3 linked regions of the Saccharomyces cerevisiae S288C genome follow. The gene in region 1 interacts genetically with each later gene. Each region holds a gene or a part of one and is shown in the gene's direction. Other genes may lie near its edges.

Region 1 (4,892 bases):
GATCCTGGCTTGTCGGTGTAGCAATGGAAAATATTAACGTAACCCTTTCTGACAATGAAGTAATCGGCTGATATTACACCCGCAATAGCACTTAAGAAAACTGCATATGCCGCTAGTGCCGTAGTAAACTTTGACGATGATGATAATAAATCCCAGGGGCAAATCGCCAACGATATTAGAGCACAAATATAAGAACCGCGTCTGATATTGATGAATTTAGGCAATAATGCAGTCAGATCGGTACCTGCAGGGATCGAGTTACCAGACAAGTTGGCACCCAGCTGGTCAAACGCAAAAATGAAAGATATTAAGAATACACCGGCTCTGTTCCCCGAAGTATAGTTATCCAAGTACCTGTTCAGAATGTCTAGGGGACTCCAATAATTTACTCCGTACAATGTATAAGCTGCGGAGACAGACAATATTCCGATTAAGGAAATAATGGCATAGCAGACGGGTAGCGCAATCAATTGCGAGTAAACAGATGACTTGTAGGTCTTACCGAATCTAGTGAAGTCAGGAGCGTTTAGGATTAAAGTAGAGAAGTTATCCAGAGCACTCATAATAGCTCTAATGACAGACCATGCTAAAACCGTCTTGCTGATTGCGCCACCATTGTCATTTAGGGAACCCAATGCCAAATGACCTTTGGCCTTACAAAGAGTCCAAATCAAAAAACCGAAGGCCGCAAATGGAGTGATGGCGGATTTGAGTGCAAATATATGACGCAATTTGTCAGGTGGAAACCATAGGAACGGTAAACATGCGACCCAGAAGACCATGAAGCACATGAACTCGAAGTTCGTCAAATTGGGGTTCTTTATGGTGTCTTTGATTCTAGTATTCAAATTAGTACCGAAGATAGCCTTTAGCATCAACTGAACACATTGACTACCGATATAAGCCAAAGTAGAATTCCAGACACATGCCATGACGACACGGTTGATGACAATCCAGATGGAGAAGTAGATACCAAATGATACTCTTGAGGAAATGGGGAAAGAGATATGGTAATTGTTCCCCACTTTGGAACCCAGTATCAAGAAAAATGCGACAAACGTGTATCCAACCCAAATACAGATCCAAGTCTGCCACCAGTTAAGCCCTAACTGTAGCCCAGTGGCTGAGATTTGCCATGTATTGACGTTAAAGGACCCAGAAATCCAAAAGAAAATGTACTGCTTCCATGTCCACGTTCTTCTTTTTGCCTCCACGGGCCGCAGATCTGTGTTGTACAAGTACGTCGAACGGAGGGACTCCTGTAAATCTTTAAATGTCCTAATTGGATTTTCGGGCTTATGATCGGCCAAATCGGTAGAGTCATTCTTAACCTCAAAAAACTCGACAACTCTTTGCAGCCAAGACACCTTTTCGTCATCCTGAGCAATGGTTATATTGTTTTCTGAATCGGTATCTTTTTTTTCAATGACATTAGCATCAATCTTAGAAGTAATTTTAGTCGCATCACCCATCTCGGACTCTTTCGTGATTTCTTCGTAATCCTCCGTCGGTATAGTGTCGTCCTTCATTGTTTTTGAAGAATTATCGAATCCAGAATCAGATACCGGCATTTTCTCTTATATAGAATTAATGAATGAGAGGACTAGTTACCGCCTTTTATTTCCGCAATGTGCTGCAAAGTAAAGCAAAGCTGTCCAATACTATGTTTTAAATTTTACAAGAAGGTCGAAGCAATACTACTGTTATATAAAAGATAGGATAGCATGTCATCGAGTAATTGAGCAAGAGAGGAAATGAAAAACTTTTCCGTTGGAGAATTGATCAAAAATTTTCAAAAATACGACATGTCCCTGTGTTGTCCAGGCTGACACAATAGTTTCAGTAGCGAGAACCGCCAAGTTTTATTGCAGCATCCTTTAATGGCAAAGATGGCGCGATAAGGACGAAACCGGCAAATCCCGAGCATCAACCACAGTGAACGCCGCGGAGAAACTCAAAGGCGAAAGGGGAGAAAAAAAGAAATTAATGGCACATACCGCTTTGTGGCATGGCTCAATCACATTTCTTTTTCTTCTTTCTGATCGCCCGCAGGAGAGGCAGCGCCGTTTGTGTCCCATCGCAAGGACAAACTAGCTAGGACATGAGACTTCTAAGCCGTTCAGTCGAAAGAGTTAGGGCATTAGTCTCTAAAGATAAGTGTGGGGGCTTGGTTGAGTCTTGATTTAAAAGCTTGGAGTAGGCATTTTACGATCTATTTTCTCTCGAAATAAAGTAAAGGTATTGCTGCAAAGGAATTGCCGTAATATTTAAAACTTCTTGCTTAAGTGATGTAAAGGCAGTGAGGCGATAGCAATGTTTCGTAGAGCCTGTGACTAGTGAAGCATAGGCAATAAATTGTTTTTTTTTTCTGATTTTGTATTGCCGTCTCTGCGTCGCAGAGATTTGGTGTTCGTACGGAGCGATAATTGTTTTTATCTTTTCCAACTTAAAGGATCGAGGAAACTCAAAGGGTGGCAAAAACAAGCGGTATAATACAAGGTGAACTGAGTTGGAAAGAGAGTAGCCAAGACTATTGAACTATAAAGTTAAACAAAATATGGCCACTATTGCATCAGAATACTCTTCGGAGGCGTCAAATACACCCATTGAACATCAATTCAATCCTTACGGTGATAATGGTGGTACAATCCTGGGCATTGCAGGTGAAGATTTCGCAGTGTTAGCAGGCGATACAAGAAATATCACCGATTACTCAATTAATTCTCGTTATGAACCCAAGGTTTTTGATTGTGGTGATAACATAGTCATGTCGGCGAATGGATTTGCAGCAGACGGCGACGCTTTAGTAAAAAGATTCAAAAATAGTGTAAAATGGTACCATTTCGACCACAACGACAAAAAACTATCTATAAACTCTGCAGCAAGGAACATTCAACATCTTCTGTACGGGAAGAGGTTTTTCCCTTACTACGTTCATACGATCATTGCGGGTCTTGACGAAGATGGTAAGGGCGCTGTCTATTCGTTCGACCCAGTTGGCTCCTACGAAAGAGAACAGTGTAGAGCAGGTGGTGCTGCGGCATCATTGATCATGCCATTTTTGGACAATCAGGTTAATTTCAAAAATCAATATGAGCCAGGTACAAACGGTAAAGTCAAAAAGCCTTTGAAATACTTGTCCGTGGAAGAAGTCATCAAACTGGTGAGAGACTCGTTCACTTCTGCTACAGAAAGACATATACAAGTGGGTGATGGGCTGGAAATCCTTATTGTCACCAAGGATGGTGTAAGGAAAGAATTTTATGAGCTAAAAAGAGATTAATGCATACATATCATAGTATAAAAAGAAATAGACCAATATCAACATCAATTTTATGTATTTTTTTTTTCTTTTGGTATAGCATTGATATATTGAAATTTGTATATATTGCTGCGAACACTATTTAAAACAGGTTTTTTTTTTATTTTGGCAGTTTGAAACCCTTTCCTCTGATGACTTTAGTGTAGTAAATGTAAAAGAAATCAGAGTACAACAGAGTTTGCAAAAGTCCCGCGAAGAAGGCAATCTTGTCCAATTTTTTATCTTCCGTGCTGTACCTCCAAATCCAGTTAGGAATATACAATGCTCTGTATAATCCCATGGCAAAAATATAATGAACAGTTAGACTTCTAGTCTTCCCACCCTTAGATAGCATGTACAATTGAGGTAGAATAGCCACACTCTCCAACCATACAGAAAAACTCCATGCTAATTCAAGAAAAGTGAACTTGTGATGGAAAAAAACACTCATTAGAGCACTCCCAATTAGTAAATGCTGGATCTTAAAGGTATCATGCATAAGCATTTCATTATACGCAATGGTGTTGGTTCTTTTAGACCCTTGTAATAGCACTACAATGTAAGCGGTAGATACAATGAAAAATATTTTCATTAGAGCATTGTATAGGGATACCCAGTGAAAAGTCAAGAGATCCAAGTATCGTGTTATGAAAACCAAAGCGTACAACGTTTGGGTCTTGAAAGAAATACCTTCAATGTACCTTGTGGTCTTGATATTATGAATCAGGATCAGTATACTGGTTAGATGTGATAAATCACCTGTCTTGATGGTCGGGAAAAAGCCCTTTCTCTGTTAGTAAGATTGGGTTCGATCTACGGCGGGAAAAGCCTCATGAAACTCCAAATAGTAACATACCTAAGATTCTAAACGGATTCATTGCTTACTGATTATGCCTCAACTTGCGCGTATATCTCACTCTTGAACAAGTGCCCTCAGCAAATTCATCTGCCTCGAAATTTGAACTTATTTTTAACGTGTTCAATATTTAGCTAAAACGTCGTTTTCAGTCCGGGTACCGCAGATAAGCCATCCCGGATCTTTAAAGGAAAACGAGGAATTCAGTGGTGCAGACTACACTTTAATCTCAATTGACCAAAGTGAGTCCTCAAGTAAGACGAATATTATTTTTCTTTCACGACTCAATTGAATTCCTAATAACACTTTTGTTTGCTGTATTAGCTTTTAGCTTTGAGAGCGATGAAGCAAGAGAGAAAAATAAGGGTAGAAAAAAAAATTAGAAATTGAGGAGGGGAAGGTATTCTAACCTGGTGAATTCCCAGATACATAAGTATAAGAATTTCTCGGCAGAGATTATATACAATAAAGAATAAGGTTCAGTTGGACGATTGCGATAGTAGCGTGAATAACAATTTACTTTAATCAATCGTTAGGATACTTCTAATGGGCTTTTTTAACAATAATCCGGTAATTGAATTCTTCCACAGAATAACGAGAAAACCCAGTACCATTGCGATGTGGGTGTTTGCTGGTCTGATTTGTTCAAGTACATTTTATTTAATGTTCATGTCATCACCTACAATCGACTTCAACTCGAAGAGTAAGAAAAAAAATGATAAATAATCTCCCTGT
Region 2 (4,723 bases), 570 kb from region 1:
TGAAAGAATTGAAGATTATGAGAAATATCTGAAAATAATTGAGAATGAAGAAGAGAAGATCAAGCGTGTCAAAATGCAACAAGAGGCTTTACGTCGGAAGTTGTCTGAGTATAAGAATCCATTCTTCGATTTGAAATTAAAACATCCTCCTTCTTCTAACAACAAAAGGACGTACTCTGAAGAAGAAGATCGTTTTATCCTTCTCATGTTATTCAAGTATGGCTTGGATAGAGATGACGTATACGAATTAGTGCGTGATGAAATTAGAGATTGTCCCCTATTCGAATTAGACTTTTACTTCAGAAGCAGGACACCTGTAGAGCTAGCCAGAAGAGGAAATACATTACTGCAATGCTTGGAAAAGGAATTTAACGCAGGGATTGTATTGGATGACGCCACTAAAGATAGAATGAAGAAAGAAGATGAAAATGGTAAAAGGATAAGGGAAGAATTTGCAGATCAGACCGCTAATGAGAAGGAGAACGTTGATGGAGTAGAGAGCAAAAAAGCGAAGATTGAGGATACGTCGAATGTTGGAACTGAACAGTTGGTAGCAGAGAAAATTCCGGAAAACGAAACCACTCATTAAACCTTCTTTTTTTATATTTCGATTTTTTTTAATATATCCTACACCATGCTTCTGAAGAAAAATATATAATCATACTAATCTATAAATGTATTATTTATTGTTCCGGATAATTGCTTGATTATAGACAAAGATATCATTTACTTAACAGGCTTTGGATTTCTTGGTCCAAGGACGATGGTTTTGTTAAGGAGGAAAATCTTTGGACAACCTTACCATTGGAATCAACTAAGAACTTTTCAAAATTCCATTTGATACCCTTGAAACCTAGTAAACCTGCTTTTTGGCTTTTCAAATAATTATAGACAGAGTCAGCATTACTTCCGTTAACATCAATCTTCTTCATAATTGGGAATGTAACGCCATAATTCAACTGGCAAAATTCCGTAATTTGTTCATCAGAGCCCGGTTCCTGCTTCCCGAACTGATTACATGGGAACCCCAAAATAACAAACCCCTTATCTTGATATTTTTTGTATAGTTCTTCCAATTCTTTATACTGCGGCGTGAAGCCGCACTTGGAGGCAACATTAACTATGAGAACTACTTTGCCTTTCAGTTGGTCAAACTTAAAAGATTCGCCTTTCTTGTCCTTGCATTCTAAATCATAAAAAGATGTGGTCATTTTGAATTATTACTTTTTGTTGCTAATTGTATTCTTGTCAAGGTCAGCCATGCAGGGAAATGCAAGTTCTCTGCGCTACATCACATATTAGCAAATAGTAGTTCTTTATATATCAAAACAATAACAAAAGTACCTGCACATTTTTTAAAGCAGGCTGGCTTAGGGGCTTTGCACTAATACGGAGACAATGGAACTAATGCCTTTCACGATATGTGTGGCAGATATTGTGGTTTTAAACTCTTTGTCATCGGAATTACTAATTGTCTAGATATGGCCGGCCGAGTAGCCTCTAAAAAATATTAAACAGTTGAAAGTAAAATTGCTTGGAAAACACTACTGAGTCGTTGGTCATTTCAAGAGACTGCATCTATCAAAAATAGTCAAGATTTGTGTACATGTTCGTCGTACATTTAGTAAGTAACGTCCGTATTTTCCTTTTTTTAGCGGATGATGAGTAAAAAATTTCTTGTGGATTTATATGTTACGAATACAAACACAGAGGTTGATGCATGAATTTTTTCTAGCTACTACCATGTGTTTAATACAATAATAGTACAGGTTTCCTTCATCTCCTGTATATGGCCCTTTCCTTTTATATTGCCTCAATCTCGAAAAATGCTTTACTAAACAGCGCGAAAATTAAATTGTTAACATGTGTATATAACTGTGAAATATGTAAATAAAAACTTTATCAAGTAGAGCAAGGCGGAGAACGGTAACAAAAAGTAGACTATATGTTGCGACTTTTTTCACTGGCACTTATCACATGCTTAATCTACTATTCCAAAAATCAGGGCCCATCTGCTCTTGTTGCGGCCGTGGGATTTGGTATAGCAGGCTATTTAGCTACAGATATGTTGATTCCACGTGTGGGCAAATCCTTCATCAAAATAGGCCTATTCGGTAAGGACTTGAGTAAACCTGGCCGTCCGGTGCTTCCAGAAACAATAGGTGCTATCCCTGCTGCAGTTTATTTATTTGTAATGTTCATTTACATTCCCTTCATTTTCTACAAGTATATGGTCATAACCACTTCAGGTGGGGGCCATCGCGATGTCTCAGTGGTTGAAGATAACGGTATGAATTCTAATATTTTTCCTCATGATAAACTATCTGAATATTTGAGCGCTATCCTATGCTTGGAAAGTACGGTCCTCTTGGGTATCGCTGATGATTTATTTGATTTACGTTGGAGACATAAGTTTTTCTTGCCTGCCATTGCAGCCATCCCACTGCTAATGGTTTATTATGTGGATTTTGGAGTTACGCATGTACTTATTCCCGGATTCATGGAACGCTGGTTGAAAAAGACTAGTGTTGATTTGGGGCTGTGGTATTATGTTTATATGGCATCGATGGCAATTTTTTGCCCCAACTCCATCAACATCCTGGCAGGTGTTAATGGTTTAGAGGTTGGCCAATGTATAGTGTTGGCCATCTTAGCGCTATTGAACGATTTGCTGTACTTCTCGATGGGGCCATTAGCCACAAGAGACTCCCATAGGTTTTCCGCTGTTTTGATTATCCCATTTTTGGGTGTATCCTTGGCGCTATGGAAATGGAATCGTTGGCCCGCCACAGTGTTTGTGGGAGATACATATTGTTATTTCGCTGGAATGGTATTCGCAGTCGTTGGTATACTGGGTCATTTTTCAAAGACGATGCTTTTGCTATTCATTCCTCAAATCGTTAATTTTATTTATTCATGTCCTCAGCTATTCAAATTGGTCCCCTGCCCGAGACATAGGTTACCTAAATTTAATGAAAAAGACGGTTTAATGTATCCATCAAGAGCAAACTTAAAAGAAGAACCGCCAAAGAGCATTTTTAAACCGATCTTGAAGTTACTATACTGTCTCCATTTGATTGACCTGGAATTTGATGAAAATAATGAGATTATTAGCACCTCTAATATGACGTTAATAAACTTGACATTAGTATGGTTTGGCCCTATGAGGGAAGACAAATTGTGCAATACAATCTTGAAGTTGCAATTCTGCATTGGAATTTTGGCTTTACTTGGAAGACACGCTATAGGCGCTATCATCTTTGGCCACGACAACCTATGGACAGTACGTTGAAGATTATGTATTGGTAGTTACTTTGTACTTTTATGACGCAAAAGTTGGTATTTATGATAATTATTTAGTTATCGATTGAGTCAAATCGGCGAAGTATTTTTGGCGCTGCACGACAAGGTCACTTGTCCAGCCCTTTACTTCGTCTGTTTTTATGCTAGCTACAGCCCCAAAGAAATCATCGAAGTTTTTCGTTCCTTTGTATTCCCTCTCGTACTCAAAACATTGTACAAGCATTTCATATTTATCGATATCTTTCACGTATCTAGCTTCCAATGAGGTGACATTTTCATAAGCCAACCAATCGTCCATAATTTCCTTTGCCGCGATCTCATTGTATGGCTTGATCAGAGCATTACATAGATATTTTATGGTTTCCCATTCCCGACGATGCTTTTCTTCCTTCCCAATAGGGTCAACTGGAGTAATATCGCCAACTAAAGATTCGGCGATATCGTGCACCAATGCGATCCGGACACATTTATCGCGGTTAACCCGCGAATCCTTGATCAGCATGGTGATTATGCTCAATCTGTACATGTGATCTGATATGCTTTCACATTCTTTAATACCGAGGTCAAGATAACCGGTTCTTCTCTGAATTTTTAATTGCTGTACCACGTTCAAAAACGCCAGGATATAGTTTGGATGGGGTTTAGAGAGCTCATTTTTAACATATTGGGGTACTTGGCTTTCAGGCTTCCATTCAGTTGTTAAACGTGTCTTTCCTGCCTCAACAGAACCAGAGCATGATTTCTTATTTGTGATCGTTGCTGTCATATTTTTTTTATGTAGGCTTTCTTTGACAATTGTTTTTTATGAGAATAAAAATAGTGCAGAAGGTTTATTAGAAATGGAAAAGGTTTGCTCCTGCGAAAAAAACCATTCAGTGGGTATTTTCAGGCTTTATAATGACCAATGGACAGAGTAAAACAGTCTAATTATGATAAAACCATATTTATAGATTAAGACTTTTCTTTTATACGTTTCAGTAATGTTTTTTTTTTTTTTAATAAACGAAATAAATTTTTAACATCAGGACCGAAAAAATGCGATGAGCTTTTAGATCGACGAAAAGTGTAAATGATTTACCTAAATATATATATATGTTAGCGAAAAAAGCTTAGCTTCTGGGCACAGTGCTCGGTACACTTTTGGTAGAGCTGTAACGAGCAATGATACGCGGTCTGTAAAACGAACTTGCTTGTGTAGTCATACGTCGTAGGCGTAATGTAAGGTTGTCCGAGAAAAGATGGGAAGTGTGAGGGATGAAATGGATTTCCCTTAAAGTTGCTTCCTGATTAAGGGAATAACAGGAGAACAAAAGTTGCTGAATATCTTTCTCTCTTGGAACAACAACAAAACACAGAGACTAAGGCATAACAAACTAAGTCATGGCTGAAACTGAAAGACTAATGCCTAACGGTGGTTCCC
Region 3 (4,057 bases), on another chromosome or scaffold:
AAATAATGTGTTTTTTTTTTTTACATTTTCCTTTGTCGAATATATAAAGTTTCTTCTTCTGTATGTAAAAGTATTTTTATTTTATGTTATTGAATTTGTTTTTTTGTTATTTATGTATACGCGACTATCTATCAGTTTGGTACCTCGAACACCAGAGATACACCTTCATCACCTGCAGTTATTACTTTTCTCTTCTGCTCGGTGCCGGTATTTGCCACAGGATGCAGTAATATAAAATCAAGAACCCCCATATTATGGCCCACACAAACAAACTTCTCTTGGCCAGTTCTTGCATTAAACTGGTAAACCTTACCATTGATACACGATGCGAATAAGTCATCATTATCAAACATAAGTTTTGTAACAGAATCTTCGAGAACAAACTTGTGTCTTACTCTCCATGCACTTGTATCATATAAGAGTATTTCACCGCAGACAAGGCCAATGGCCATAAGGGAGAATTTGGATGACCAAGAAATGGATTCAATGGAGGCATCTAATTCGTCTTGTTCTGGCTTTAGTTCAATCACTGTAGATAAATGTAAAATCGCACCGCCATTGTTACAATTAATTACTGCCAGAAGACCATTGTTGGACCCACATGCCACGACACCCGAGTTACCCTTGGTCAAAGTTTCCGGAGCTAATGATAGGGAAATCCATGGAGCTTCTAATCCCTTGATTTCTGCCTGTGTGATCTTAAATAATTGTTGGCCAGTGAAGCAATTCCATGCCACAATAGTGCTATCCAAAGAACAAGTGACTAATTCCAGCGTATTTTCACCCTTGTCGGTGTTAATGAATTCACCCATAGAGCAATCTTGCTGGTGTACAAAACCAGACATTAACTGTTCCAAAGAACCATCCTGCTCATTAATCTGGTAGCACCAAACAGATCCATCAGTTGCACCAAACGCAAACGTCCTTGCTATAGTGGGATGAGTTTTCAGCCAAACAATCTCTTCGACTTCTTGCATTTGCGATGCCAACTTCCACTGAGCGCCACCTTTTTGACCCATGTGTACAAGAACCTTCCCCGACATATCGGCAGTGACCAAGAAGCCCCCTTCAGAAGTGAAAGAACATGAAATCACAGATTCGCCATAACCGGTTAGAGTGCCAGCAAACTTGGGTGGCTGTGAATGTGATGTCCAAAGATGTGCCAAGTTATCACCCCCACCGGTACATACTAGCGGCAGGTTAGGATGATGGCCAATGGCAAACACGGAGTCTGTGTGCTTATCGAAATAGGTAAGCGAGTTGTTGGACATGTCGACCTCCAAAGCTTCCTCATCATCATTCATCATTTCATCATCGTCGTCATTCTCTCCTTCAATATCAACGGGAACGTCTTGTTCGACCTCCACAGTGGGCACAATCTCCTGCTCAACTTCTTCGGTAGTTATAAACTCTTCTTGAGGTTCCATTACGCTTAATGTGTCGCTATTTGGTGCTGTTTTGGTCTTCAAAAGGCCTCATCTAAAGCCCATCGAATGTATCTCTTTAGTTATTCATAGTGAAAATTTTGCCAGAAAAAGAAACGGCGGGCGGGTGATAATGCGGCGAGTGGGAATTTCTTACTTAAAAATATACTTAACCAAGTATTCTCACTTAGTGTGTTCGAAGGTACCTGGCAAAAGCAACAAACACAGGACAGTATAGCATTATGATGGGGTTTGAATGGGGTTTTAAACCCAGCAGTAAAATAACACAGAGTACAGTCAGTTCACAAGGCACAGGCAATGTAATGATTCCAACTGCTGGAGTGAAACAAAAAAGGCGGTATGCCAACGAGGAGCAAGAAGAGGAAGAACTACCTCGTAACAAGAATGTGATGAAATATGGGGGCGTCTCCAAGAGGAGGCCTCAGCCAGGATCGCTCATCAGAGGGCAGCCTCTGCCCTTGCAACGAGGCATGGAACTAATGAACAAGAACCAATTACAGCAGTTGTTGGTGGATTTGATGACAAAACATCCAGAAATACAACAAAGCGTACATACGAGAGTCATCGGATTAGACTTCAGTATACAAAAGTGTCTGGACATGTTGAAACAAAAATCAGAAGCCGTTTACCAGAGCATACCTTACAATAGGTCTTATGAGAGTAATAAATTAGATGACTATGCTTTCGTGAGAATGAAACCTCAAATTCTGGAGTTCTTAAACTGTTTGGTGGATTTCATACTGGATAACATTCCACCACGTTTGGAAAATTTGCACGCATCATTAAAATTCTTAGACATTTGCACGGAATTAGTTATCAAATTGCCCAGATTTGAATTAGCTAGTAATAATTACTACTACGATAAATGCATTGAACAATTGTCTCACGTATGGTGTACGCTTATTGAACATGTTGCCCGTGACAGGATAATTTTATTAGCAGATAATAGCTCCGTCTGGAAAAGTCATATGACAAGATTACAGGTATACAATGAACATTCAAATGGGTTATTGGAACGCCCACTCCAGCTGTTCAAATCTTTAGATATGGGTAGCCCTTCAGCAGCATCGTCATCAACATTATCACTTCAAGAAAGTATTATTTACCACCACGATACCATGACAGCAAACGAAAACAATAACAATAGTGGTAGCGCTGCTACTGATTCGCCCTTTAACTAAGGATAGAATGGTTCTTTTGCTTTTTCAAATACATTAATATGTATATATATGTATATATAAATGTATGACTGTGTAATGTTACATATGCAGAAGTATCCGATTTTTTTTTGATTTTTTCTTTTATTTCATAAATCCAGTTTTTTACTGAAAGATAAACTTAATCCCTTCAACAGCTGTTGAGGATTAATCACTTGTGAGTGGTCATCGTCCGTTTCGCTTGAGATCTTTCTCATTGTTTCTATGTTCAATTTATTCACTTTTGAATTTGTTATTTCGTTTAAGGCTAGTGAGTGCGAGTTTAATATATGCGACTGGTACCTTAGCTCATCGACTTTTGTTTCTAACTTTGTCTCAACATCTGCAATCGCAAGGTCTGGCTCTTCTGTATCCGACAACGGTTCCAGTGGTTGTGATGAGAATGAAGTCAATTCTTGCCATTCAAGATCTGGTCTCGAAGTGTCTAAAGTGACTGCCCATTCTTTCACTTCATTTTTGATCGCGTTCACCTTGCTCGTTAAAATGCTAAGATTCTTTGTGTTTTCCACGTTTTTGCTATTAGGTAATAGTTTTTTTGGTTCTTTCGGTAGGGCTTTTCTCCTTTCACTAAATTTACGTCTAGACCTCTGTATTTCCGAGTAGTCCACCTCATCGTCGTCGTCGTCGTCGTCGTCGTTTTCCTGAAACAGTTGTCGCAGTTCCGTGTCATCGTAGTTTTCAGTATTATCCAGAATCTTCTCCTCATCTTCATCCTCATATTTTTCCTCATCTTCCCAATCTATCGCAATATGATCTTTTTTAAGATCATCGACAAACTCTTTTATTATCACCATAGCCAGACGTTTGGGATCCACATAATCAGTTTCTGCCTTTGTTGATTCGAGCTTGGATTTTTTGGTCAGATGTTCAAGTTCCCCTTCTTCCTCTTGGTTTTTAGCCTTCAACTCCAATTTATGCAGAGATCTCATTAAACACCAGTTGAAAAGCTGTCGTATTTGTAAATTTTTACCAAAAGACGCATTTCCAACCACGGTGTAAAAATCCTCTTCAGGAATATCCTTGTGCGGAGATATAATAGTGCTTCCCCCATTAGCTTGAGATGCTAACATAGACAATCTTCTACCTCTCTGACTTCCGATTGATTTTTTCCTTTCCCTTGTTCGTTGAATGTAGTGTGGTTGCTGAAGTTGTTGTTGATGGAATGATCCGTACGGAAACAATTGCGGAGCTGGCAGCAATTGTTGTGATGAAGATATATTTTGGGGAGTAGTCATATCGGGACCGCCTGCAGCAGTGGGTTGCGAATAAAAGGGCTGTAATGAGGAGTTGGGCATAATCGAATGCATTGGTGATCCAGGATATGGTATCATTGCAGGAGTTGGTGCATTCATCGGATGGTAGTAATAGTAATAAGGCATATATGGAGCGGGCATT

The links.
Region 2: of PRE7 (region 1) and ALG7, changing one enhances a phenotype caused by changing the other (phenotypic enhancement), as found in Saccharomyces cerevisiae (one study listed by BioGRID).
Region 3: mutations in PRE7 (region 1) and STS1 together harm fitness more than expected from each alone (negative genetic interaction), as found in Saccharomyces cerevisiae (2 studies listed by BioGRID).

What each region holds. Positions count from the first base shown.
Region 1 is NC_001134.8:138,690-143,581, forward strand, and holds PRE7 (proteasome core particle subunit beta 6), read left to right. Parts: upstream 1-2,557; coding exon 2,558-3,283; downstream 3,284-4,892. Other genes in the region: FUI1 (uridine permease), read right to left, coding at 1-1,571; ERD2 (Erd2p), read right to left, coding at 3,423-4,060, 4,158-4,179; MIN6 (Min6p), read left to right, coding at 4,704-4,883. UniProt on the Saccharomyces cerevisiae protein: Non-catalytic component of the proteasome which degrades poly-ubiquitinated proteins in the cytoplasm and in the nucleus. It is essential for the regulated turnover of proteins and for the removal of misfolded proteins.
Region 2 is NC_001134.8:704,016-708,738, reverse strand, and holds ALG7 (UDP-N-acetylglucosamine--dolichyl-phosphate N-acetylglucosaminephosphotransferase), read left to right. Parts: upstream 1-1,945; coding exon 1,946-3,292; downstream 3,293-4,723. Other genes in the region: chromatin-remodeling ATPase ISW1, read left to right, coding at 1-589; glutathione peroxidase GPX2, read right to left, coding at 723-1,211; YBR242W (5'-deoxynucleotidase), read right to left, coding at 3,353-4,069; VVS1 (Vvs1p), read left to right, coding at 4,684-4,723. UniProt on the Saccharomyces cerevisiae protein: UDP-N-acetylglucosamine--dolichyl-phosphate N-acetylglucosaminephosphotransferase that operates in the biosynthetic pathway of dolichol-linked oligosaccharides, the glycan precursors employed in protein asparagine (N)-glycosylation.
Region 3 is NC_001141.2:375,856-379,912, reverse strand, and holds STS1 (Sts1p), read left to right. Parts: upstream 1-1,666; coding exon 1,667-2,626; downstream 2,627-4,057. Other genes in the region: SQT1 (Sqt1p), read right to left, coding at 132-1,427; MIND complex subunit DSN1, read right to left, coding at 2,752-4,057. UniProt on the Saccharomyces cerevisiae protein: Involved in ubiquitin-mediated protein degradation. Regulatory factor in the ubiquitin/proteasome pathway that controls the turnover of proteasome substrates. Targets proteasomes to the nucleus and facilitates the degradation of nuclear proteins.